Rhinolophus ferrumequinum: one gene and its partners. The main gene of each other region encodes a partner of the protein of the gene in region 3 in a complex. Links are inferred from orthologs where the notes say so. Each region holds a gene or a part of one and is shown on either strand. Other genes may lie near its edges.

Region 1 (7,972 bases), on a different chromosome or scaffold from region 3:
AAGACAGAGGACAACTGTTTCCCCCAGTGAAGAATCAGGATCTAGAACTTGAGGAGGCGCTAAAGTCTTTCCCCACCCCCTTTTTATTTAGCAGACTCCTACTCATCCTTTAAAACCCAGCTCCTTTTCTGTGTCCATCTTACAGGATTTTACTCAGATACTTCTCATCATTCCATTCATTTTGTCTGTATTCTGATTCACCTCGGTGGTGTTTAGTAGCAAGGCCAAACAAGTGATCACACCCCAGTGCATGCTAGGTCTGGGAAAATATGCTGGTGGAAACTTTTTGGTGAAGGCAAGCAAGCCTCCCAGCAAACCTTCATTTTGAAAGTCACAACTGGGAAGCCTTCTTCACATCAGTTACCTGATGCTTAGACACTAAAATACAACGGGTTGTGCCACAACCCTGTTCAAAAAGCTTCAGTGGATTCTCAGGGACCACAAGTCAACGCTCTTCATACTTCAAAGTCCAGTTGAAATGGCATCTTCTTCCTCTATGAGTCCCTGGCACTTTGCACCTTCACTGTAGGCCCAAACATCTTGTTTGGACATACTAAAATGCACAGCATACTTTATCTTTTTGACTAGATTATAAGCTGCTGGAGACCAGGAAGCTCATCTTAACCAGTTGTCCCCCAGGATCTGGCATAGCACCTGGCACACAGGCCCCAGAGGATGTTTATGCAGTGAAGAGAGATGAGAGTAGTGCCAATGACTAACATTTAAAATGCTGACTTAGTGTCAGAAACTGGGCTCAGACTTCGCAAAAAAAAACCGAAACAAAAAACCTCTCTTAATCCTCACAAATCCTCTTTGGTACGTCCTATTATTCGGCACAGTTTGCAGACAGGAAACATGCTCAGAAATAGGAAGTAATCTTCCCAAAGTCACAGAGCTAGGAAACTAACACTAACTAGTGCTTAGTCCAGGATTCAAATCCTCTCCTCATTCCAGTTCCCCTATTCCCCCTAACCATAACACATCACCTGGTACTTGTCTAACCAGCCCCCCACCACTTATAGTTAGCAAACTCCCTGAAGGCCAGAATTGTCTTAATTATCTTTCTCTAATGACTTGCACAGGACCCAGAACATAAGGGGTGGGTCGGGGGCGGGAGGGCTGTGTTGTCAATAAATGCTTAGAAATCTTGCAGTTTATGGAGATCACACATGTTCTTGCTTATTTTGTGTCCCTAGAACCCAATTTGTCCCCCCTGCAACCTCCTGTACCCCAGGCCTTAGCAGATGGGACGAACTCAATGAGCCATCCCATAACTTATCAGTCTACCCCTGGTGACGTCGTCTCTGTAGGGTATCACCTGAGTTTCGGCCTCCAGCACCCGCAGGCGCCGGCTGGCAGAGGAAAGCAGGGTTTCAAGCTCTAACTGCAGAGTGTCCAGCTCCTCAATGCCGATGCCATCATCCTCAGAGCGGGCCAGCACTGCTGTGTAGCGTGGACAGACTTTCAGGTGGTCCACAGACTTGAAGTCGTGGAACTGCAAGGGGCAGTCCTTCAGCTCACTCATGGCCCAGGATACCCTGCGGAGCTGAAAAGGAGAGGGACATTGATGGGAGGTAAAGTGGCACAAGGAAAGCCCAAGGGTTCCCTCCATCCAGGAACAGCCTCAAGGAGAAAGCCCGACTTCAGTACCCTATTGACAAGACTGATGGCACTGCTATTACTCCGAGAGCACCCACTGTGCACCAAGCAAGGTGCAGACATCTTACCAGCTTTTCACTGATTCCTCACCCTCTGAGCAGGGACCATGGTGCTCTTCATTTTACAGATAAGGAAACTGAGACTTTGTAAGGGTGGGTACATGCCCAAGCTTACCAAGACTTTGAATCCAGGTATTTCTGAGTCTGAGCCCCTCACTACCATGATACACTATGCCACGTCTTCCTGATGCTCTTTTCTTTTGTTGTTCTTCTCGTGAGTTCTGCTAAGCCTCTGAGCTCCAAGCATCCCATTCTCAATTGTGCCTCCCTGCTTCACCTTGTCTCACTCCTTCCCACTTTGCCGGTTATTTTTGCCCGACAGTGGTTAAGAATGTGATATGGTAAGCCAGACATACCTGGGTCCAAGCCCAAACTTTGCCGTTCTCTATGTATGTGGCCCTGAATATGCCATTTAACTTTCCTGAGTCTCGGTTTTTCCAACTGCAAAATGGGGACAAAGTAGTGTGGGTCTGTTTCCCCATAAGAAGTCTGAATCTGTAAAATGGGGATAATAATGGTACCTACCTCCCCCGGATGTTCTGAGGATTAAAAGATGATGCTCGTCAAGAGCCCAGTTCAGTGCCTGGCACAGAAGTGGGACTGCTTAACGGCTGGCTCCACCCGTGGGTCGCCCCAATGCCCCGCCTTCAGGGTCCCCGTCCACTCGAGACCCCTAACGCGGCTCCTGCCCCCTCTACCTCCACACTCTGGCCTCCTACGGCCCCCGGGCCGCGAGAGGGGGTGGGGAGTTCCGGTTGGTCGGATCTACCGCTCGCAACTGGCTATGGGCGGGGCCCCTGCAGTTGACGCGGGGGCGGAGAAACGCGAGGGAGAGCTCACGGTGCCTTGCGGGGGAGGGTTTGCGGGCCGTGAGCTGGACCACTGCAATTGGGGTGGGGGTTACGCCGCGGGTACCCGAGGGAACAGCCAAGGGCTGGAGGGCGGGGCTCGGCAGCCGGGTTTTCGGTCAGGCATTTAGTTCCGCCGAGCCCCAGAGGCAGCCGGTAGGAGGGGCTCGGGGGAAGGATGGGGGCGCAGAACCGGAAGGAACGCAGGGCTCCTCCGCCTCGCCTTGTCCAAATATGGTGCCCAACCTTCGGCCGGGCGGCACCATTGCATGACTATGGGGAAAGAAAGCGGCAAATAGGACAAGAAAGCCAAAGTCACAAGCGAGAGCTGCATGGATAACGGGAGAAGCTTGAGTACCGACCTGAAATTGCAGCAGTCTAAAGATACCAAGGCAGTCCTAGCGGGAAAACTTCCAAGGGACCCAGCGTTCCGAGGCTCTCCTCACCCTGCTCGGAGCACAGATGGTACTGTCCGGAAGTCCGGGCGGAGACTGCGGCTGCGCTTCTCGCGAAAGGGCAGGCGTCGCGGGCCTGGCCACTTCCGTACTTCCGCTTTCCGGCCCAGCCAGCGCCCGCGATGGTGAGAGAGCCGGGCCCCGGGCCAGGGACCCCCCCCCCCATTCTGTCTCAGAGTTGTGGGTCTGGGGGAGATACGGCTTTGCAGCGGAGAGGCCTGGGGCCGAGGGATGCTGGGGAGTTGGGGGCACGATGAGGCTCGGAGAAAGAAGGCGGGGTGGGGGTCGAAGGGAGGAAGGGGCGAGCGGGGAACGCCCTCGTAAGAAGTAGGCATGGTGACTTCACAGTCTGTCTTTGGAGACAGGTAGGGAATACCTGAGGCATGGAGGAAGCCGGAAGTGAGACCTCCTAGGCTCGTAGTAGCTAGCGCTCAGGTGGTAGGGCTACCTCCCCACCCGGAATAGAACTTCACTAAATGCACTGCTCTGTTTTCTCCTGCCCGCCAGACTCTCTAGTTTCCCCAGGGAAGCGTCTACACTTCCATATCCCACTCTTCTCCTTACCCCCTACCTTGATTCTACCGTACTGAAGGATTTCTTAAGCTGCCTCCACCCGAGCCCCTTCCTGGTCAGAACAAAAACGTTGTTGCCTTACTGTAAGATCTGATACTGCTGATCTCTCTCCCTGGAAATCCTCCTGTTTGATAAATGTGTACGTTCCTGGGAGTAATGTACCTGTCTAGTCCCTTGGCTTTGATGACCTTGTGTATTCTGGTGTCTCCCAAGGTTTGCCTGGATATCTTGAAGATACTTTGACATTAAACCTCCAGATCAAAACTCCTCTTTTCTCCTAAACTCGCTCTTCCTTCTTTGTTTCTTAAATTGGCCATACCTCTTGATTTTTTAAAAATCAGGTTTATTGAGGTATTGCATGAGACTGTTTTATTTGTGAAAGGGCAGGTGTCATGGGGCTGGCCACCTAAAATTCACCCTTTTCCGGTTTATCATCTATGAATTTTGACACACACAATCACGTAACCACTACCATCAAGGCACAGAACATTCCCATCACCTCAAAATGTTCCCGCCAGTCCCTTTGTAATCAGGCCTCCTCCTCTTTCCCCGACCCCAGGCAACCACTGATTTTAACCCCCCAATAATTTTGCCTTTTCCATATTGTAATATAAATGGAATTGTCAGTATGTAGGCTTTTGAATGTGGCTTCTTACCATAGTGCATTTGAGATTCATCCGTGTTGTATCAGTAGTTACTCCTTTTCATTTCTGAGTAGTATTTAATTGTATCAATGGAGCGTAGTTTGTTGGGAGGTGTTTTAATTCCATGATTATCTACATCTTACGTTATAGTCTAACCATGTTGTAGTCTAACCGCTGTGATACTTATGTTATAGTCTAATCGCTGGCATACTTATGTTACAGTCTAACTGCTGTGATACTTATGTTACAGTTGAATTGCTCTGATACTTATGTTATAGTCGAACTGCTGTGCTTTTCCTCTCTAAGGCCCCAGTCTAGGCTCTCATCAGTACTCCTTGAATAACTCTCTCTGCCTTATGTCTTACTTCCCTCTCCAATCCATTCTCCACAGAGCCCCCCTGCAGCTGTGGTCCTATAACTTCCCCCTCAGAAAGTCCCAGCAGTTCTTTACCACCTTAAAAGAAAAGCTAAACTCAGTAGCCTGGCATTTGAGATTCCCCATGAATCTCCAGACTACCACTGCAGCCTTGTTTACTAAATCTAAAATATGTTTCCTACAGCAACATTGTACTCATTATTACTTCTGGAACTCTTAATGCCCTTTTGTGTTAATCCTAACCTTGCTTAAGTTACAGCTTTCATTCATTCATTTATTCTACAGAAAATGAATGACACTATATAGGTTAGGTACTAACTGAGCTAGGAGCAGGATATGTAGATTTGAATAAAATAGACGCGGTCTATTGACCCTGAGGCTTGCAGTCTAGTGAAAGAGAAATCGCTTTACTAAAGATGTTTGAAGGATGTATCATTGTAAATTACAAGAACTGTTACTAAGGGGAAGTCAAGAAAGACTTCTCTGAGGAAGGAAGAGGCTGTCCCTGAATAAACCAAGATCTGAAGGATGACTTAGGCGACAAGAGGGTAGAAAAGCCTGCAGATAGATAGTTCAGCAAGTGTGAAACTCTGAGGGGAAAAAGAACTTGGCGAATGTAAGGAAATGAAGATGAGTTAGAGTAGCTAGAAGCTGATCCTTCTAGTGGGAATGCCCTTACTCTTTTTTTCTCATTCTAAAGTACTCCTAATTGTATTTCCATCTTCAAATCAAAGCCAATTGCTTCTGCAAATATAACTTGTAAATCTAATTCAGTTATTCTTCTTTGTATCATAGTCTCTCCCCGCATTGAGCTGTTTAAGGGTAGAGATGGTCTTAATCATTGAATTCCCAGCCCCTAGCTCAGTGCCTGGCACATAGTAGATTTATCCATTTGTTGGCTCAAAAGACAGATTGAGGACAATCATTCATTTACCTGTATGCTTCTAGACCGGAGTTTCTCAACCTCGGCACTATTTGGGGCTGAACAACTCTTTGTTGTGCATTGTAGAAGGTTTAGCAGTTTGCCCAGCCTCTTTCTACTCAATGCCAGTAGCACCCCCATCTCAAGTCATGTCGGTAAAAAATGTTTTAACATTGCCGAATGTCCCCTGGCAGGCAGAATGGTCCCCTGTTGAGAACCACTGCTCCAGACTTAGACTGGAAGGCACCTTGAAGGCTTAGTCTGTTCTTCGGTGTCTGAGAATCCAGCACCCTCAGTACTGCCTGGCTCCTGTGTAGCTGGAGCAGGGGACCAGTGTGTTTGGTGAGACAGATTCTGATCCTCCTTTGGGGTTTTTCCTACAGACTGCCACTCTCCGCCCCTACCTGAGTGCCGTGCGGGCCACACTGCAGGCTGCCCTCTGCCTGGAGAATTTCTCCTCCCAGGTCGTGGAACGACACAACAAGCCGGAGGTGGAAGTCAGGTAGGGAAGGAAAAGTTCAGGGTAGGGGTGATAGGTACAGCCCCAGAGGTGGCTGTTGTTGAGAAGGTGCCATGAACTTCCATCCTGGAAGGACAACCACAGTTCACATATTTTGTCTTGCTGCCAGATGAACAATGGTTCCCAATTTGGAGTTCAGAAAATAGGGTCAGTAGGTTGGCAGGACAAAACCCAGGGGAGAATCTACTCTGGAGCCAAGATTGCTTGACACAAGGTATGACTTTTCAGAGTAGAGTTGTTCATGAAGTATTTCCTGTGGCATTATTGAACCCACTGGCTGAGAGGATTTAGTTAGATGCCATCTCCATCCTTTTCTTAAAGATCAAGGATTTTTTCTCCCCCCCCTCCACCCCCAAACTGTATTCTCTCATCTCCTACTCCAGATATTCTGCATTTTGGGTTATAGTCTCTCTCTCATCTAGTTCATGTTTTATAAACAGATGATTCTTTTTTTCCATTTAAAGTTTAATCTGGGACATACATCTATAACTGAGATGTGGTGTTACCACACTATGTTGATATGATTTGAATTTTTAAAAACACACAAGATGTTAGCATGTGCCATGTTATGCTACTTTACATATATGATCTCCACTAGGCGTTTTAAAATGACAACAATTCACAGACACCACCACCACAGTGAATTATCATTATATAGATCTAGGGAAGTAGAGACATCAGAATGGGAACTGAGTTGAGAGAGGTCTTAATGCTGAATAAGTGAGTCATTCTGGATTGACTGTGTTTGATTTTAGCCTGTCCTTATTTTTAAGGTAGTCCCTCTTTTTGTTCCCTAAATGGTATGTGGATTTGCCTATAGTTATTAAAATAAGAGCTGCCATTTGTAAAGCTCTTACCGTGTGCCAGGCACGCTATTGGACACTTGACCCTTTTTGATCTCTCTCAGTCCTCGCCAGTGAAATAGGAATCAGTCATTTTACAGATGAGAGAATTGAGATTCCAAGAGGGTAACTTGCCCAAGGAAAGTAACAGAGGAGGCTGGATTTCAAAACCTTTCGCCCTGACTCCAGAGCCTGTGCTCTTTCCACTGGAGAACACACTCACTGGCCCCCATCTTGGAGCACCCCTGCTTGTGAGTCTCCTATTTCTTGGACTCTGGTCTCAGATAGTGATTCCAGGACCTGCTGTGGGGTGTCCCTAAGCATTCTGTTCCTCTATAGTACAGAGGCATTTGTGACATTGTGTTTTCAGGAGTAGCAAAGAGCTCCTGTTACAGCCTGTGACCATCAGCAGGAATGAGAAGGAAAAGGTTCTGATTGAGGGCTCCATCAACTCTGTACGGGTCAGCATTGCTGTGAAACAGGTGAGCTCGCCATGGAGCCCCTGCCTCCCTAGGAGGCCGGGGATCCCCCATCCGAGAGACCAGGGTGCAAGGAAACCCTCTATTTCCTTAAATGTACCCAGGAAATGATTTGCCAAACTCAGCCAGTCAGTAGAATAAAGAGTGAGCCATTCTGTCCTGTAGGCCTTGTTCTGAATGTAGCAGCTCAGGCCATGGGCCAGTGTGGTGTCAGGGCATGGAACCATTCCTGAGTAATGAGGAAGAATCCACTACAAAAAATAAATAGTACCAGTACCAATTTGATAGCCATAAATTCTGAAAGTGAGATTTAGGGTGAAAAACAAAGTACAATGTTGCCTCAGGCAGCTGACATTCCCACCATCTCCACAATTTTGTATTTACGTGCCACCTGGACAGTTATTTACTGAATGGGTTTCTTTAAACTGACTTTTCTTCTCAAATTAGTTTGAAAAAGAATATGCCATAAGTGGGAAAACAGTATCACTCACCAAATAGAGGGAGTCTAAAAAATAAACATAAACATAATGAAAACAAAACAGTGTCACTAAGTTCAGACTAGATACTGTTGCCTACAGAAAGCTCTACCCTTTTA
Region 2 (7,166 bases), on a different chromosome or scaffold from region 3:
GTGCGACGTGCATGGAAGAGCCCGGTCCACATGGGCATGCGCTAAAATGGCACACGCGGAGCGTACCGCTATGGGCACATAGCCGCTCTTCTGCTCTGAAGGGAGCCACACACCTCGGGGCTGCGCAAGAGCCTCTGATGAAGAACACGAAGTTTCGAGGGTCAATCAGTGAGCCCGAGAGAGCACAGCCAGAAGCCTACTGGAGTCCCGCGGCTCAGAGCGCGGCCTGGGGACCACAGGCGGGCAGCACGCCAGGCGGTTAGCACGCACACCTCTGGCCTCCCCCTGAACCCACCAGGGAGAAGGCGCCTGGCCCCCAGGCCTCCGGCTGCGTCTCTTCTAACAGCTGCACCGGCTCTGAGTGGGAAACTGCATTGTAACAGGCTCCCCAGATGACTCGTGTGCACATTAAAGTTTGAAAAGTACTGCTTTAGAGAATGCCACCCTTTCAGCCCCTTGCTTCCTCCAAAACACTATAAATGTTTTAGTCCCTGGGCTTGCTTTTCATGTACTTTCCCTGGGCTTGCTTTTCATGCTGCACGGATGGCAGTGTAGACAGTGCAGCTAGGAGCTCAGACTCTGAAGTCCGACTACACAGTTCCAACCCGCTGTATAGGCTGCTGTGAAGGTCTAAGGAGACGGGCACAGCACCTGGCACTCGGCAAGGCTCCCGCCACGTCAGCTGTATGCGTGGCTACGGCACAGCTACGTGCTGTAAGGGTGACGTGGGCAAGGGACGTCTCCCTGAGGCACTGCCATGTAAGGAGAAAGAGCAGTCATGGACCGTGATCTGGGGAAGAGCCCTCTAAGCAGAAGGAGTAACACATGATCAAGGGGAGGCCGCTGGGATCCCACGGGTGGGTAGACACTGGAAGGCCCCAGAGGCCGAGAAGTTGAATCTGAGCAGGCCTGGAAACCACTGCAGGCTGATGGGATGTGACATCACATTCCAAGATCACTCTGATTACGGCGTGTGGAATGGGCCGCTGGGCACAAGAGCGAAGCCGGGCGATCGGACAGGCGGCTCCAGAAGTGGTCAAGGCAAGAGGTAAGTATCAGCCTGGACTGAGGTTGTGAGAAGTGGCTCGATTCTGGAAACAGTTTGAAGACAGAGCTGCTGCCGCACTGGACATGAAAGGAGGAGCTGAGGATGGTTGCTCGGGTGCGGCCTGAGTCACCAGGTGAGGTGATGTGAGATGTGAGTAAGGTAGGGCTGGGATGTGCATGCAGGTAAGGACGTCGGGTAGCGCTGTGACACTGAAGCCTGGAGCTGGGGAAGAGTTCCAGTCTCTGGACCCAACGGTCACAACCTTGGCAACGCCCTGAAGACAAAGACGAAACCTTTCTTGCCTTCAGAGTGTTTCACTATCGTATAACATGTTTGATATACATCAACAAACTGCATTTCCAGACAAAGTGAGATGGCGATTTCTGGAGGGTGGCGAGCTCGATGCTGCTGCTTAGCTGAGAATTTGCAGAGCAGTGTCTAAGGAGCTGGGAGAAGAGTAAAGAATCGCTGCAGAATGGGTCTTGGTCCCTGAAGATGGGCTCACTTTATGGAAAAGAAGCAAAAGGAAGTAACAGCAAGACAGGTTTGGGAATGAGGGAAGAAGTGTGGAATGTCTTCTACAGGGAGCCCAGGAGGAGGGGAGTACTGCTGCGGAAGGGGTAAGATGAACTGCTGGTTCAGGGAAGTAGGGGGACCATCACAGGGAAGGCTCTGGAAAGACGAGGGAGCTGGGGTCACGTCTGTCCTATTTCTCACAATGCCAGGAGGCCGCCACAAACCTGGCAGTTCTGGGCCAGAACACAGCCAGAGGTTTTCCTTTCTAACACGGCCGAAAGCTTCCACTTCCAGAGCGGGAAGAGAGCTCCTCAGAGACCACCTAGAGAAAAGCACCCGCGTTTCTCTCTCGAGGAGCCCCGCACCCTATCCTGCTGGTATAAATGAATCCAGCCCAGCTCTCCCCTTTTCCTGGCAGATAAAAGTCACCACAGAAGCTTTCTGAAGAGAGAACAAAACCCAGGACAAACGCGTCCTCGTCCATGCTCCTTTGTTCGGTACTTACTGACCCCCTCCTCACACGACGTCCTGGGTGTTGTGGGGACCCCAGGATAAAAAAGCCCCTAACAGGGGACAAGGGCGCACGCACAGAGAACCGCACAAAGCCAGCAGGCTGTGAGTACAAAGTAAGTGTATCAGAGATGGTGACAGCAGCCGCAGGGCGTGTGTGAAGCTTGCCTGGCCTTCGCCACCACTGTTCTCCAGGCAAAACAGTGCCTCCCAGTGCTCCCACTGCTGTCAGGGTTGCTAACCTGCCTACGTCCACCACTCCTACTCAGGTAAGGCGCTGGGTCTTGCCCATAGTCCGCACTCAGCAAACACCCGTGGAAGTACTGCTCAAGGGTAGAAAAATGGCTCTGCAGCCGAAAGCCACCGTGCAAATCCACGCTTTGCTACTTCCTGGCTGTGTGACCTTGGGCGTGTTGCTTAACCCCTCTGCGCTCCGGTTTCCCCGCGTGAGCTGCGTCTGCCTGCCTGGCCCTCGGTGGTGTGCGCTGAACCGGCAGGTGCGCATCGGGCTGCATTAGCCGAACAAGGGACTGAGCCCCCCGGCGCCTCCCGCCCGGGTCCGCGTAGGGACGGCGCTCACCCAGTTTCCGAAGCCGAACTGCTCGATGGCATCCAGCAGCAGCTGCTCCTCGCGGCTGGTCCAGCCGCCCTCGGCCTCGGGCCCCCACAGCGTGAAGCGCCCGCCGTCCACCAGCTGGTAGCCGTGGTAGCGGCGGTGGTGGCCGATCTCGGCGCCGGCAGAAAAGCACTCCGGGCAGAGCTCGATATCCTGGCACTCGGTGCAGCGGAAGCGCAGCGGGCTCACCTCGGCTAGGCAGTACACGCAGTACTTCTTACCGAGCTCCGCCATCTTCCCCCGCCCGCCGCCCGCGCCCGCCGCCGCTGCCGCGCCCGCCGCCCTCGGCGCCTCCCGGGCCGCCGCCGCGCTCCAGCAACCGCCGCCAGCGGCCGCCGCGCCGCCCCGCCCAGGCGCCGCCGGAGCCGGCCAGCCGGGCCGCGTCCCGCCTCAGCACGCAGGCGCCCTCCGGCCGGCCCGGCCGCCGCCGCCGCCGCCGTCGCCCCGCCGCATCGCGCAGGCGCCCCGCGCGCGCCACCGCGCGGGGACCCGGCGCGCCGCTCTGCGCCTGCGCGCCCCTTGCGCCGGCCGCCCGCCCCTCGGAGCCTCTCCAGACGCCCCGCCCCAGGCCTGGCGGTGGGAATTGGGCGGAAAGTTAACGCTGCGGGTGCGCCACGCCCCTCTCGGCGCGAGCCTACTCCCTCTCCCAATCAACGCCTCCCTTCGTTCGCTTGCGGCCTCTCATTGGCCTGATTCTGCAGGAAGGCGGGAAGAATGGGCAGGGCGCCGGGCTGACGCCTGGCCAATCGCCGGACCCACCGCGAGCGCCTCTGGTTGCCCCTGGAAACCTAACAGCCGGCAACTGGAGTCAGTGGCGCTGGCGGAGCCGGAGGGAGATGGACAGCCACTCGGAGCACACTGGGGACCCTGAGCAGGAAGACAGACATGTGGAGAGCCTGGCCGCGCGGCTGTCCGAGATCACGGCCAGCTCTGGCTCCCAGTCCCCGGCGGACACCGCGGAGCCGGAGCCGCAGCCGGAGACCATAGAGGCTGCTGAGGGAGGCGTCGCCGTGGCCGAGCCGGCCGAGCCCGCCGAGCCTACAGAGCCCGCCGAGCCCCGGGAAGGGCCAGAGGCCACCGAAGCCGCGGGCAAGGAGGGGCCCGGAGAGCGGGAATGGCCGACCGAGGCCGAGCAAGAGGAGGTGGCGGAGGCCGGACCTGAGGAGCCAGCCAAGCCGGAGTCCGAAGGCGGGCCCGAGGAACCCGAGGAACCCGAGGAGGAGGAGAGGGAGGAGGAAGCGGAGGAGAGGCGGAAGGAAGCCCCGTCGCGGAGCTCTCTGCCGCTGTCCACGACCGGCCAGGAAGAGGCTGCGACCGTCCCGGAGGCTGAGCGTGAGGGACGGGAGGAGGAGGTGAAGGAGGACGAGAGCGAGGGGAAGAGTGTGGGAGGAAGCCCGGCCAAGAGCGAGCTGGAGCTGGAGCGCCACGGTCTGGACGAGGGGCTCCAGGAGGGTCTGGAATGGACGGAGGAGGTGCAGAAGGCGCAGGAGCGGCAGCTGCGCACTGAGCTCCTGGAGCAGTACCGCTCCCTGGTGGTGGAGCGCGGCTGCTACCAGCGCTACAACATCTACCTGCAGCAGAAGATCTCGGATGCGCTGCGCAGGAAGAAGGGCCTGGACACAGCCGAGGGGGCCGACAGGGGCGCGGAGCCCGAGTCCACCGAGAAGGAGGAGGCATACTTCAGCCACCTCGCCGTGCTGGAGGAGCTGAGGAAGCATCAGGCGGACGACCTGGACTGGTATCACCAGGAGCTGGACCAGCTGAAGCTGCAGTGCGAGGAGAAGCTGACCAAGGTGGACAAGGCGTGGCGAGACTTCCAGGCGCTCAAGAAGCAGGTGATGCTGCAGGCCATGGGCAGCTGTCGGATGAGGGGCGGTCGCCAGGCCGCTCTGCGAGAAGTAGAGCAGATCCAGGCGCTGGAGGACAAGAAGCAGAAGGAGATGAGTGCCGTGAGGCTGGAGAACGTGCAGCTGAGGCAGGGCCTGGTGCATTTCGATACCAGGATGAGTGCCCAGGAGGACATGGCCGGGGGCCTGCTGCTCATCGACTTTGAACAGCTTAAGATTGAGAACCAGACCTTCAATGAGAAAGTTGAGGAGCGAAATGAGGAGCTTTTGAAACTGCGCAAGAAGGTGAACAACAACGTGCAAATAATTACCCACGTGAAAGAAAAGCTCCACTTTATGGAACTAGAAAATGCAGGCAGAAAGTCACAGCTTTTGGACATTGAGACTCAGGTGGCCCTAAAGAGGGACATCCTGACCAAGACTAAGCAAGCCAGAGACAGCCTGCGGGTTGACAACATCAAGCTGAATCTGAAGAGTGGCCTTCTGGGCAAGGAGTCTCTCCTTCGGGACCTGGAAGAGAAGGTGGGCAAGACGGAAGGGCTCCGGCAGCGCTTAGAGTCCCTGAAGCACCACCACGCTGGCCTTACCCTGTCCTGCCGAGGAGTGAGGCAGAAGATCCGGGAAGCTAGAGCCTTTCTGCCCCGTTGACATGGCTGATGAGAAGAGGCGGCAGAACGGCTCCTCTCAGCACGTTATCCTCCATCAACTTATTCTCCATTTGTTGCCACTCTTTAAAAGGCCTGTGATATTTAGGATGGAACTACATTTTGTATCGCATAATTTTTCAGCTTCCAAAATTGGGTTAGCGGTCAGTTTTATAGGGGTTAAGTAAAACAGGTCCAGAGACACAAACAGCAGTATACCTGACTTCTCCTAAAAAGCTGCTGAAAGCCTTTTTGTATCTGAGCAATTCCATAATTTCAATGGCCTGATACTGAGAACTGATCCTCTGCCGTATGTGGGAAGGTTCAGCCAATGGGCAGGACACCCCAAAATTCCTGTGCATTAAGCTAATTATTAAATCCCTTTGGATTTATTAAGCTGTGTAGTGTCAAGTCAGTCTCAATTCAAAGCTCACTAATTCCCTTAGATTAACCCAAAGTGTTTCCTTTGAAGCCAATAAAGGTTCATTAAAATCCCTGGCTACATTCCACAGCTTGAATATACTTTTTAAAATAATAATATACTTATCCAGCCACACACACGTAACAATGAAGGGAGTAAAATCTTTGACTTCTTACTTCCATTCTCCTTATCCTCTACAATTTTTGTTTTCTCTCGACCCGTTCATCAAAGCCAAAGTTAAGTAGTAAATCACTGGCGAACAGAATGTTTGCTGTGTGCCTCCAGCGAAAAGCAGCACTGGGTTCTTCTGTGGTTGGGGAGGCTTCAGAGTGAAACTGGCAACATGCTTGGTGCCTTCACCAAGCAAGCGGCTTTCATTATGAGTGTCCATCCCTTTGGTTCACTAGAGGGAGAACGGGTATCATCAGCTGATTTTGACCCATTGGCAAGTATCTAGGGTTGTGGGGACAGGAGTGCAGTTTCCAGGCTGTCGGCCTCACGTGGAAAGGTGCTGCTGGCTCAGGTAGTAAATGGCCATCAACTGTGATTGGATGGCCATCAGCTGTGGCTCATTGGCCGTCAGCTGTAACCATTGAGCCATTGGCCACTAATATAACTGCCGTGGCTACGCTAGCAGAAAATGGGGGCTAGCAAGAAGATGGTGGCTGAGCCTGCAAGCGCGGATTGCAGTTAGCATGGTGCATTGCAGCTGGCATGTGGGGTTGGTTGGTTGGCAGACAGAAGTGGACGGCGGGTTGCAGATCGTGTGGATCCTGTTTCCTGTGTCTGCAACCCAGCCACCAGCGAGAATATAGTAGTGGTATGACTCCCCTATCTATGGCTCCGTGGGTGTTCCTTTTTGGCCTCACCATGTCCTGCGTTCTTGTGTGGGGAGCGGGACCAGAGACCCTGCATGACACCCTGCATGACAAGGGTGAACCAAACATTCCCTCATCAGCCTTGACTCCACTCACAAAGAGCACAGATACAAAAGAGAAGGAAGAGGCTGGCCTTGTTTTAACGGGCACAATTACTGAAGCTCTCTCAAATTACATTACCGTATGCCGGAGATGTTACTGTTAATTAGAAGATACATAATCTGTTGATTACTTCTAACAAGGTTCTTTCTAATTAGATTATAGGCGAGCTTTTAATCATAAAATACCAACACATGCACAAATTGTTTCTTTAGATAGATTCCGTCTGAGGAAGCCTGGCAGAGCCTAAGGCATCCCCCCGCAGTCCTACTGACATGCTGTTTAGCCCCGTGCCAGCCTTTGACCCACTGCTTTGTGACTGTCTGCTTAGTTCTCTGCACCCCTACGAGGCAAGGTCCCTGGATGACAAGGACTTTTGGTTTGTCAACCTCCCCCACAGTGCCAAGGACATAATCGATGCTCAATACATTTATTAAACACAGGGCGGGCCCGGTGGCTCAGGCGGTTAGAGCTCCGTGCTCCTAACTCCGAAGGCTGCCGGTTCAATTCCCACATGGGCCAGTGGGCTCTCAACCACAAGGTTGCCAGTTCAATTCCTCGAGTCCCACAAGGGATGGTGGGCTGTG
Region 3 (7,741 bases):
CGGCATGGTGAAGCCTGACTCCCAGATCGGAGAGTTTGCTCCGTAGATCTCCTCCTCCAGCATGGACAGGAACCTGTGGAGAGGGGACAGTCTGTCCCACACTCTGTCCAACCAAGGGACCAGCCTGGGCCAGACACCGGGGCACTGGACGTGGATCAAAGAAACAGATCCTGTTCTCAGGAACTGGGAGCCTAAGAACAGAGACAACTTCTGCCTTCAGATTAGGGGGAGGCACAGTCCTCCTCCTTCTGGGAGACCCTCATCGAAGGCAGAAGGGCAGTACAAAATCCAAGACAGAGACCAGAGGCCCAGTCTGCCAGTGCACAGATGAGGGAGACAGGAGCTGAACTGGCACCGTCCTGTACTATGTGGCCAGACAGGGCACCAAGTCACGCTCGTCCTCAGCGCCAAAATAGGGCCCAGAATCCACCCCTTCCTGCCACCTTATTCCCATCTGGGGGCAGAAGGGGCACTGGAGGCCCTGGATTAGTCAGTAAAAGCTTCTTGAACTGGACAGCTATGAGCACGTTTAAAATGAGAAGAAGGTGTGGCAGAACAGAGAAAAATCTTACTGAAAGAACTAGGAGTGGAAACTGGTTTTACCTCAAGCGTAAACTCTGGTCTTTTGAAGTGTTGTGGTAGAAAGGATTCTGAGGCTGTGTCCAGGCCCCATGGAAACAATTAGTAACGTCTACCAGGGGTGTGGACAGGGCTAGTGTTAGCACTCAGGCCATGTACCTGCCATCCCCAGCCTAATACACACAAAGGCAAATGCTAGCAAGTTGTGTCTGGCCCATGGGCACATCTGCCAGGTAGATGCCCAGATCCCAGAAGGCTCATGGAGGGAGAGGAAGGACCAATCCAGGAAGCCTTCCTAGAAAAAAGGGGACATCAGGGAGGATGTGAACTCGGGGCTAAATCACGATAGACCAGAAAGAGCCTTACTTGGGGAAGTGGGTGAGGATAAGGGTTCTCTTCTCGGGCACCAGCTTGTCCTTCTCCACCCGGAACTTCTCTAGCAGTTGCCGCCGGGTAACAGTGAAGATGGAGCGGAGAAGGCTTCGCCCAAAGACATGAGTGGTCTCGTAGCGGGGGAGGCTATCGCAGCTCTGGGGCACGTGGCAGTAACAGAGCCATCTGCAGGGAGTGCGGAAGTGGCAAGTGAGAGTGGAAACCACCGAACTCAGGCTGGGCCTACAAGCTCCCCCCAGGCTGGCTGGGCCTACCTGGTGTAATTGACCTTGTAGGTTGCCACGTCCTCCGCCTGAGACCTCTGCCGAAATTGGGCAGGCGTCTCAAGCTTCCAGTAGTTAAGGCAGAGCAGGAACATCTTTGAGAGCTCAAACATCGTCTGCCGTTCCCGAGGAGCCAGGTGACTGAACTTGTACTGCACAAAGTTTAGCACACCCTGAGAAGGGGTGGGCAGGAGACAAAACCAGGAAGGAGGTGTGAGCAGCCAGCAGGGGCTTCTTATCCCAAAATAGAGGCTTCCTAAGGGCAGCGGCAAGGCTCTCCTCTCATTCTGAAGCTCTATGTGAAGAGAAACTGTGCCCCTCCCACACACACCCTGAGGTTGGCACAACACATGTTCCCCTCTTGGAACCTCTCCCGTTCTCAGTATGATGAGGATGGAGAACACAGGCTCCCCATTCCTCCAAATGCCCCCAACTCTCTTGCCCCCTTCTTCATCCCACCTGCTCAATATTAGGCTTCTCAAATGGGGGGCTGCCCAGAGACCCCTCCACTACGGGCCGGGTCATCTGCAGGATGCATTTCCGCAGGAGCTGGAGGAAGAGGAAGAGGGAGGCGTAGAGGTCAGCAGAGCTCTGAGATGCAGACTTCCCAGCCTCAATTCCTTTGCTCGCTCACTCTCCTGCGGAGAAAGCTCACCTTGAAGAGGTAGAAATAGACCTGCTTAGTGTCTGTGTCCTCCTCCTTGTGAACAGACATGAACAGATTCTCCACGTCCACCACCATCCCCAGCAGACGGTTAATCTCATCCTCTGACACATTCTCCAAGTGGGACACGTGGTCAGCTACAAGAACAGGTGGTAGAATTGGGAAGAATAGACAGAAGACATCAACAGGGCTTTCTGGCCCTCTTCATCGCCAGCTATGATACACTCTCAGTCTCTTCAACCACTGTGACCAGCACTAAGACTGACTGCTCCTGTGTGTCAGCCCTTGGGTGACCCCTTGTTTCTTCTGAATTGGCAGATTTCCTTTCTCCTCCCTGGGGAGATACACATTCCCAACCCAATTCTTCCTTAGAAGGCATCTTAAGAGATGAAGCTCTGCGGCACTGAAGTCGTCCTCTCCAAGCAGCACCAGGCACTTGCCTCTTCCCCGCCACCAGCTCCAAGGCACTATCTGCCTTACCCAAGGGGTGCTCACAGCTGCGGCACAGCTCACTCAGGTTGGCAGCTGGCTGCTGCAGGTCCATGCGGGGTGCAGTGGGGGGCTTGGGGTTTTTCCAGCCATTACACTTGCAGGTTTCATTGGCCTGGAGGCAGAAGGATCAGTCAATAAACTTGTACCCCAGGGACGTGGAGCCGCTTCCGAGCCAGGGCTCCCATTGCCACCCGAGCCCTAGGATGTCCCAAGCCCCGCCCTCTCACCCCAGGCCCCGCCCCCACCTTGCAAGCCGAGAAGACCCCTAGCTTCTCAAGCTTCTTGGCACGCGGCAGCCCCCGGACTTGCGCCTTCCTCTGGCTGGCGCGCTGCTGCTGGCTCAGGCCAGGTCGAGCCGGATCCCCCCCGGTCCCAGTACCCCCACTTCCTACCCCGGGCCCCCCCGTCCCGGTGCTCCCGGCTGGGACTGCAGCTGGGGCGGGGGCTAGTGCCGGAGTGGGAGCCGGAGTCGGCGCCGAAGCCGGGCTGGGGGTGGGAGTCGGAGTTGGGGCAGGGGCTGGAGACTGAAGGGGACGGGGCTGCGCGGCCGGGGCCGGGGTGGAGGCCTGGGAAGGTTCCGCCATGGCCTCCCCCGCAGCGGAGCGCGGCGCAGCGCTCCCAGCCCTAGGGCCGCATGGGCAACCGGCGCTCAGTGCGCAGGCGTCGCTGCTTCGGAGCATTATGGGAGTTGTAGTCTTCCACCGCTGCTCCTTTTGCCTCCAGCTTCCAGACTTTTCTATCCTGTCTCTTGGTCCCAGACAGCCAAGAGAAGCCCAAGCCAGCACCCCAGATTGAACCCCTCTTCATTTTCAATCTCTCTTGAAGGCTTCCAGGATAGTCAAGATTGCTGTCCTCTTGGGGATAAGGAGAAGCATCCCAGAAAACAGGCTTCTGGTTGGGGGACTTCCCTCCCAAGACCCGATGGTGGACGTGCAGACCTAGCGTCTGGGGTCGAGTTGGCTTCCTGGTACATCTCCCTCCCCCCTCCATCCTGTTCCTGTCCCACATGTCTTCAGAGACAGAGTTGCAGCTACGGAGGAGATTCAGCAGCAACAATTCTAGTTCTTGATATGTGAAGTGGTTACACACGTGTATTTCTCTTTGGAATACTTCAACTGTACCCTTTTGTGTGCTTTTCTGTACGTATGTTATACTTCCACAAAAAGGGCTTATTATAAAGCAGCACCAGAGGCATGGCTGTGGTCACGAAGAAGGCTGCCAAGGAGGGTATGAAGTAGAAGCAGACAAGGGCAGAAGCCTTTCCCTACGTTTGGTAACGTCTCTTCCCCAATACCATCGGTACCTTGAGGGTTGGACCGGCGTCTTCATCTTTGTGATCCCAGAACCCAGCTGAGCCTGCCGCACAGTAGGCCCAGCATGGATAAATGAGGGAAGCCAGGAAGACTGTGTCCACCTCCCAGTCCCCAATGTGTCACAGGTTTGTGCCTGGTCAGAGAAAGGCAGGACATTCCGAGAATGGATGATCCAGTGGTCACATTCCAGTGGCTCTGTCCAAGGGACAATCTTCTTGCCCCTAGGATACCCAGTTGGGCTCCAGGCCGGCCATGGGGAGGGTCCCGAGAAGGGGCAGGATCCAGGATAAAAGCAGTAGGGGGCGCTCCAGGGTGGCTGACAACCTGACCTATGGATGTAGGACATGCGTAGCTGACCCCATACTGCCTAAGTGAAGGGAGCCCCACTGAACAGAGCTGAGCCGCGAGGAGTGGGAGTGGAGCCAAGCCAGAGTAGAGCCGCGCGTGGCGCAGGAGGGTCCCTCCTCTCCTGTGTCCTGCGTAGAGCACTACACTTGGGCCTCGCGCCCTTGAACAGCAGTTGCTCACTTGGATGCAGCGGGTCAGTAGCAGTCTTCCCAAAGGGAACCAGGTGATGTCGCGGTCCCCCAGCGTAGCCCTCGCCGAACAGAACCGAGTGGCCGTACTGCCGGTGCAGCTGCTCAGGGAAGACGTGGCAGCTGCGTGGGACGATATCCAGGTGGAGAATGGTTTCCGGATGAAGATGGATGCCCACGGCTTCACCCCAGAGGAGCTGGTGGTGCGAGTGGACGGCCAGTGCCTGATGGTGACGGGACAGCGGCAAACGGAGGGCCACAACCCGGATGGGGGGTGCTACTGCATGACAGAGAAGATGCAGCAGCAAATGCAACTACCATCATACCTGGATCCTGCAGCCATGACCTGCTGTCTGACCCCCTCGGGCCAGCTGTGTGTCCGTGGCCAGTGCCAGGCGCTGCCTTCCCCTAGAGCCCTAACAAGTCCATCTTCGAGACTCAGGAGCCCTGGCTCTAAGAAGGGTTCCAACCTAGCCTGACCCGGTAAACCACCACCCTAGTGAGCAGCTGCCTTGGCGTCTGTGGTCTTTTATCAGGGTTGGGGTCAGAGGTGGGGGTATAACGAAGGTAGAGGGAGGCAAGAAAGGCACCTCAAGGTGGTGGTCCACCAAGAATTAGGCCTTTGTGGCCCTGGTGGGAGCTGGGGGTGGGGGTTGGAGGTGTGTTGTCCTACTCAGCTCAGCTCACTGCTTGGACCAATATCCTCAACCTTTGGCAGATGAGAGCAGCAGCGCCAGCAGGGAGCAGCAGAGGGCCGGGAGGGCCAGAGTGTCACCTGGTTCCAGAACCGGCAGAGGGCTCCCCAGAGACCAGGGAGCAGATGGCTTAGACCTGGTGTGAAGCTGCTGTCTGGGCCTGACCATCGCTCAGTCCAAAGCTCCAGAGGTCATAGGTGTTTCTTCCTCTTCAGGGAAGAGGGGAAGAGGACCCAGTCCCTCACAGGCCTGGTACAGAGTAACCAAAGACCCCAGAGTTTTTTTTGGTGTTTCAGAGACCAATTATTTTCAAACCCAGACTGCAAATCACCCCAATGTAATCTGGATGGGGTGGGGGAGAGGCAAATGTAGGACCCTCTTCAAACTCGGTGAGATTCAGTTCCAAGTCACTCTTACCCCAACCCCATGCAGTAGCACCGGTAACCAAGGGCCTCTTTCTCTTGGTTACCATGAGCACCAGCATCTCCTCACTTGGGTGGGCGGGGCTTTTGTTTAACAAAATTCAGTGGTTCATTGTAAATTAACCTCAAAGTAAGCCAGAGAGGATATGGTCTGATAAGCTCTGCCAGAGAAAGACAAGCGAGACAAGCGGAGGTCGATCGATCGGCTGACTATATTGACAAGATACTGATTGGTTACATGTTGAAGAAAACATACAATACAAAATACAGAAAAAGTTGGTTCCATCCCCTCCCACTACCCCCCTTACCCACCCACCCCCAAATACTCATCATCGTGATTTGGTCAGAACAGGGCTCAGAGCCAGAGGTCGGTCAGGGTGACCAAGGACGAGGAGGGTGGGGTGGGTTGTGGGCAGTGGGTTCGTGGCTGTCACAATAATGCTGTGGTTTTTCTCCCATCTGTGAATCAGGGGTAGGAGGGTGGGGGTGGGGGGCTGCAGCCTGATGCCAGGCAGCTGAAGGGAGAGCTGCCTCTCCCTTCCCTAGCCCCAGGGCCTGCCCCACCACCCAGAACCAAGCCCACCCCAAACACGGTAAGGATGTGAAGGCTCTTGCTGACCCTGCTAATCAGCAAGAGGAAAAGAGGGTAGTTGCTCCCACCCCTGCCTCCCCATATACACGGGTGGGAGGAACAGGGGCGGTGGCTACTACCAGCAAAGGGAGAGTGGGAGAGCTGTAGAAAGGGCAGGAAGTGGGAAGAGCAGAAGATCATATATATTAAAAAAGTGACTTAAGACTTAAAATTGAATTAGTATTTGTACAGAAAGGTGCAGGTGGAATAACTCACTCCGGCCTATGATCAAAATTATATGGTGAAATCATGGTGGACCCCTCCCCCTGCCCCCGCAGTGGTGGCCCGAGGCGTTAAGTGCGATTGGTTAGAGTGGATTCCAGTCGGGTCATTCAGGCGGAGGAGGTGGGGGCAGTGGGTGGGCAAGGGGGCTCAGTTGCTGCAGCACTGGCTCCGGCTGGCTGGGTTGTTCTCCTGGAGGTCCACACCTCGGTTCCGGCCTGGGGCACCAGCTGCGTTCTGGGGCTCGTTCTTGGGGAGCTTCTTAGCTGTTTGGGAGAGGAGGGAGAAAATGTTTGTGGGGGTAGGCCAATACTGTTTCCCAAGTCCACTTGAGTAGAATCTGGCCTTTACCACCCAATCAGTAATAATGAACATACTGAGGGCTTCACTTCCATGTGTCAGGTGCATTCTGAGTGTTTCAGGAAACTGAGGCAGAGAGAGGTTCAATGACTTGCTCAAACCCAGAGTTAGTAAGTGGTAGAGCTAGGACTCAAACCCAGGCAGGATGACTCCAGAGCCAAATGGCCTAAAAAAAAATCCTAAGAAGTGGGTAGGATGGTGACACAGGGTTTTAGATGGGTGGCAAGCTAAGAGGTCAGGAAATGAAATGTTGAGACTTTGGCCCAGGCTTTAGAAACTTCTGGAGTGAACTATCTATCTCTGAGAGTCAGATGAAGAAGAAAATGATTTTATCACAATATTAAAAATGGTGAAAGATCTGGTGGTGAAGGGACCTACTACGGAGCAGCAGGCAGGTTCTACGCCCCAATGTGGGGACGGGAGGAGAGGCAGCTCACCTATTGCCATGAAAATCTCATTCACGTTCATTGCGGTCTTTGCTGATGTCTCCATGAACAGCAAACTGTTGTCGTCTGCATAGGCTTGTGCTTCCTGATTTGGATAGAGGTGAGAAAGTGGGTGGGAGGGAAGTGTTGACAGTTGGTAGGGGCTGGGGCCCAGGATAAAAAAAAATCTTCCCTGATCACAGTGCCTTATACACAATAGCAACATTGTGCAGGGGCTTTTCAGGCTGCTAGCACTCCTGCTCTGGGTTCCTCTGAGACATCTGGCCCCATACCCCCCACTCAGGTACAGCACCTCTCAGCTCACAAACACTGGCAGATGTTTTACTCAGGTTTCCCTATGTCCATTCTGTCTTCTTGTTCTTCAGAATCACTAGGCTAGGAAATACTTCTAGAAAGTGATCCTACAAATATAGTTGCACATTTGAACAAAAGCACAGAAGTATGTGCATGTTGACTGCAGCACAAACAACCTAGAAGTCCATCAGTTAGGGACTGGTAAAAAAAAATACAGTATGTAGAACACACTCCCATCTATGTAAAGAAAGGGATTCATACACATGTGCCTATTTCTGGAAAGATGAGAAAGTGAGGAACTGGGGTGGGGGAGGGAGTTTGATTTTCTAGGATTAGAGACTTAAATTTCATTTATATACCTTCTTGTGCTGTTTAAATTTTACTATATGCTGGTATTACATGAAAAAAAGTATTTTTCAATAATTTCATTA

The links.
Region 1: KAT2A (region 3) and TADA3 share a complex: the UniProt entries of both Homo sapiens proteins name them as parts of the STAGA transcription coactivator-HAT complex. The link is inferred for Rhinolophus ferrumequinum from reciprocal best matches to the Homo sapiens genes KAT2A and TADA3.
Region 2: KAT2A (region 3) and TADA2B share a complex: the UniProt entries of both Homo sapiens proteins name them as parts of the TFTC-HAT complex. The link is inferred for Rhinolophus ferrumequinum from reciprocal best matches to the Homo sapiens genes KAT2A and TADA2B.

The regions. Positions count from the first base shown.
Region 1 is NC_046300.1:44,115,827-44,123,798, reverse strand, and holds the start of TADA3 (transcriptional adapter 3), read right to left. Parts: upstream 3,046-7,972; 5' UTR 2,929-3,045; intron 2,747-2,928; exon of another isoform or gene 2,244-2,746; intron 1,547-2,243; 5' UTR 1,526-1,546; coding exon 1,319-1,525; intron 1-1,318. Other genes in the region: ARPC4 (actin-related protein 2/3 complex subunit 4), read left to right, coding at 3,144-3,146, 5,920-6,038, 7,269-7,380. UniProt on the Homo sapiens protein: Functions as a component of the PCAF complex. The PCAF complex is capable of efficiently acetylating histones in a nucleosomal context. The PCAF complex could be considered as the human version of the yeast SAGA complex.
Region 2 is NC_046288.1:84,604,867-84,612,032, reverse strand, and holds the start of TADA2B (transcriptional adapter 2-beta), read right to left. Parts: upstream 3,046-7,166; 5' UTR 2,925-3,045; coding exon 2,655-2,924; intron 1-2,654. Other genes in the region: CCDC96 (coiled-coil domain-containing protein 96), read left to right, coding at 3,527-5,185. UniProt on the Homo sapiens protein: Coactivates PAX5-dependent transcription together with either SMARCA4 or GCN5L2.
Region 3 is NC_046304.1:37,969,242-37,976,982, forward strand, and holds the start of KAT2A (histone acetyltransferase KAT2A), read right to left. Parts: upstream 3,096-7,741; 5' UTR 3,072-3,095; coding exon 2,637-3,071; intron 2,504-2,636; coding exon 2,380-2,503; intron 2,037-2,379; coding exon 1,891-2,036; intron 1,785-1,890; coding exon 1,695-1,784; intron 1,409-1,694; coding exon 1,227-1,408; intron 1,138-1,226; coding exon 946-1,137; intron 74-945; coding exon 1-73. Other genes in the region: HSPB9 (heat shock protein beta-9), read left to right, coding at 4,237-4,719; RAB5C (ras-related protein Rab-5C), read right to left, coding at 6,361-6,476, 7,008-7,101. UniProt on the Homo sapiens protein: Protein lysine acyltransferase that can act as a acetyltransferase, glutaryltransferase, succinyltransferase or malonyltransferase, depending on the context.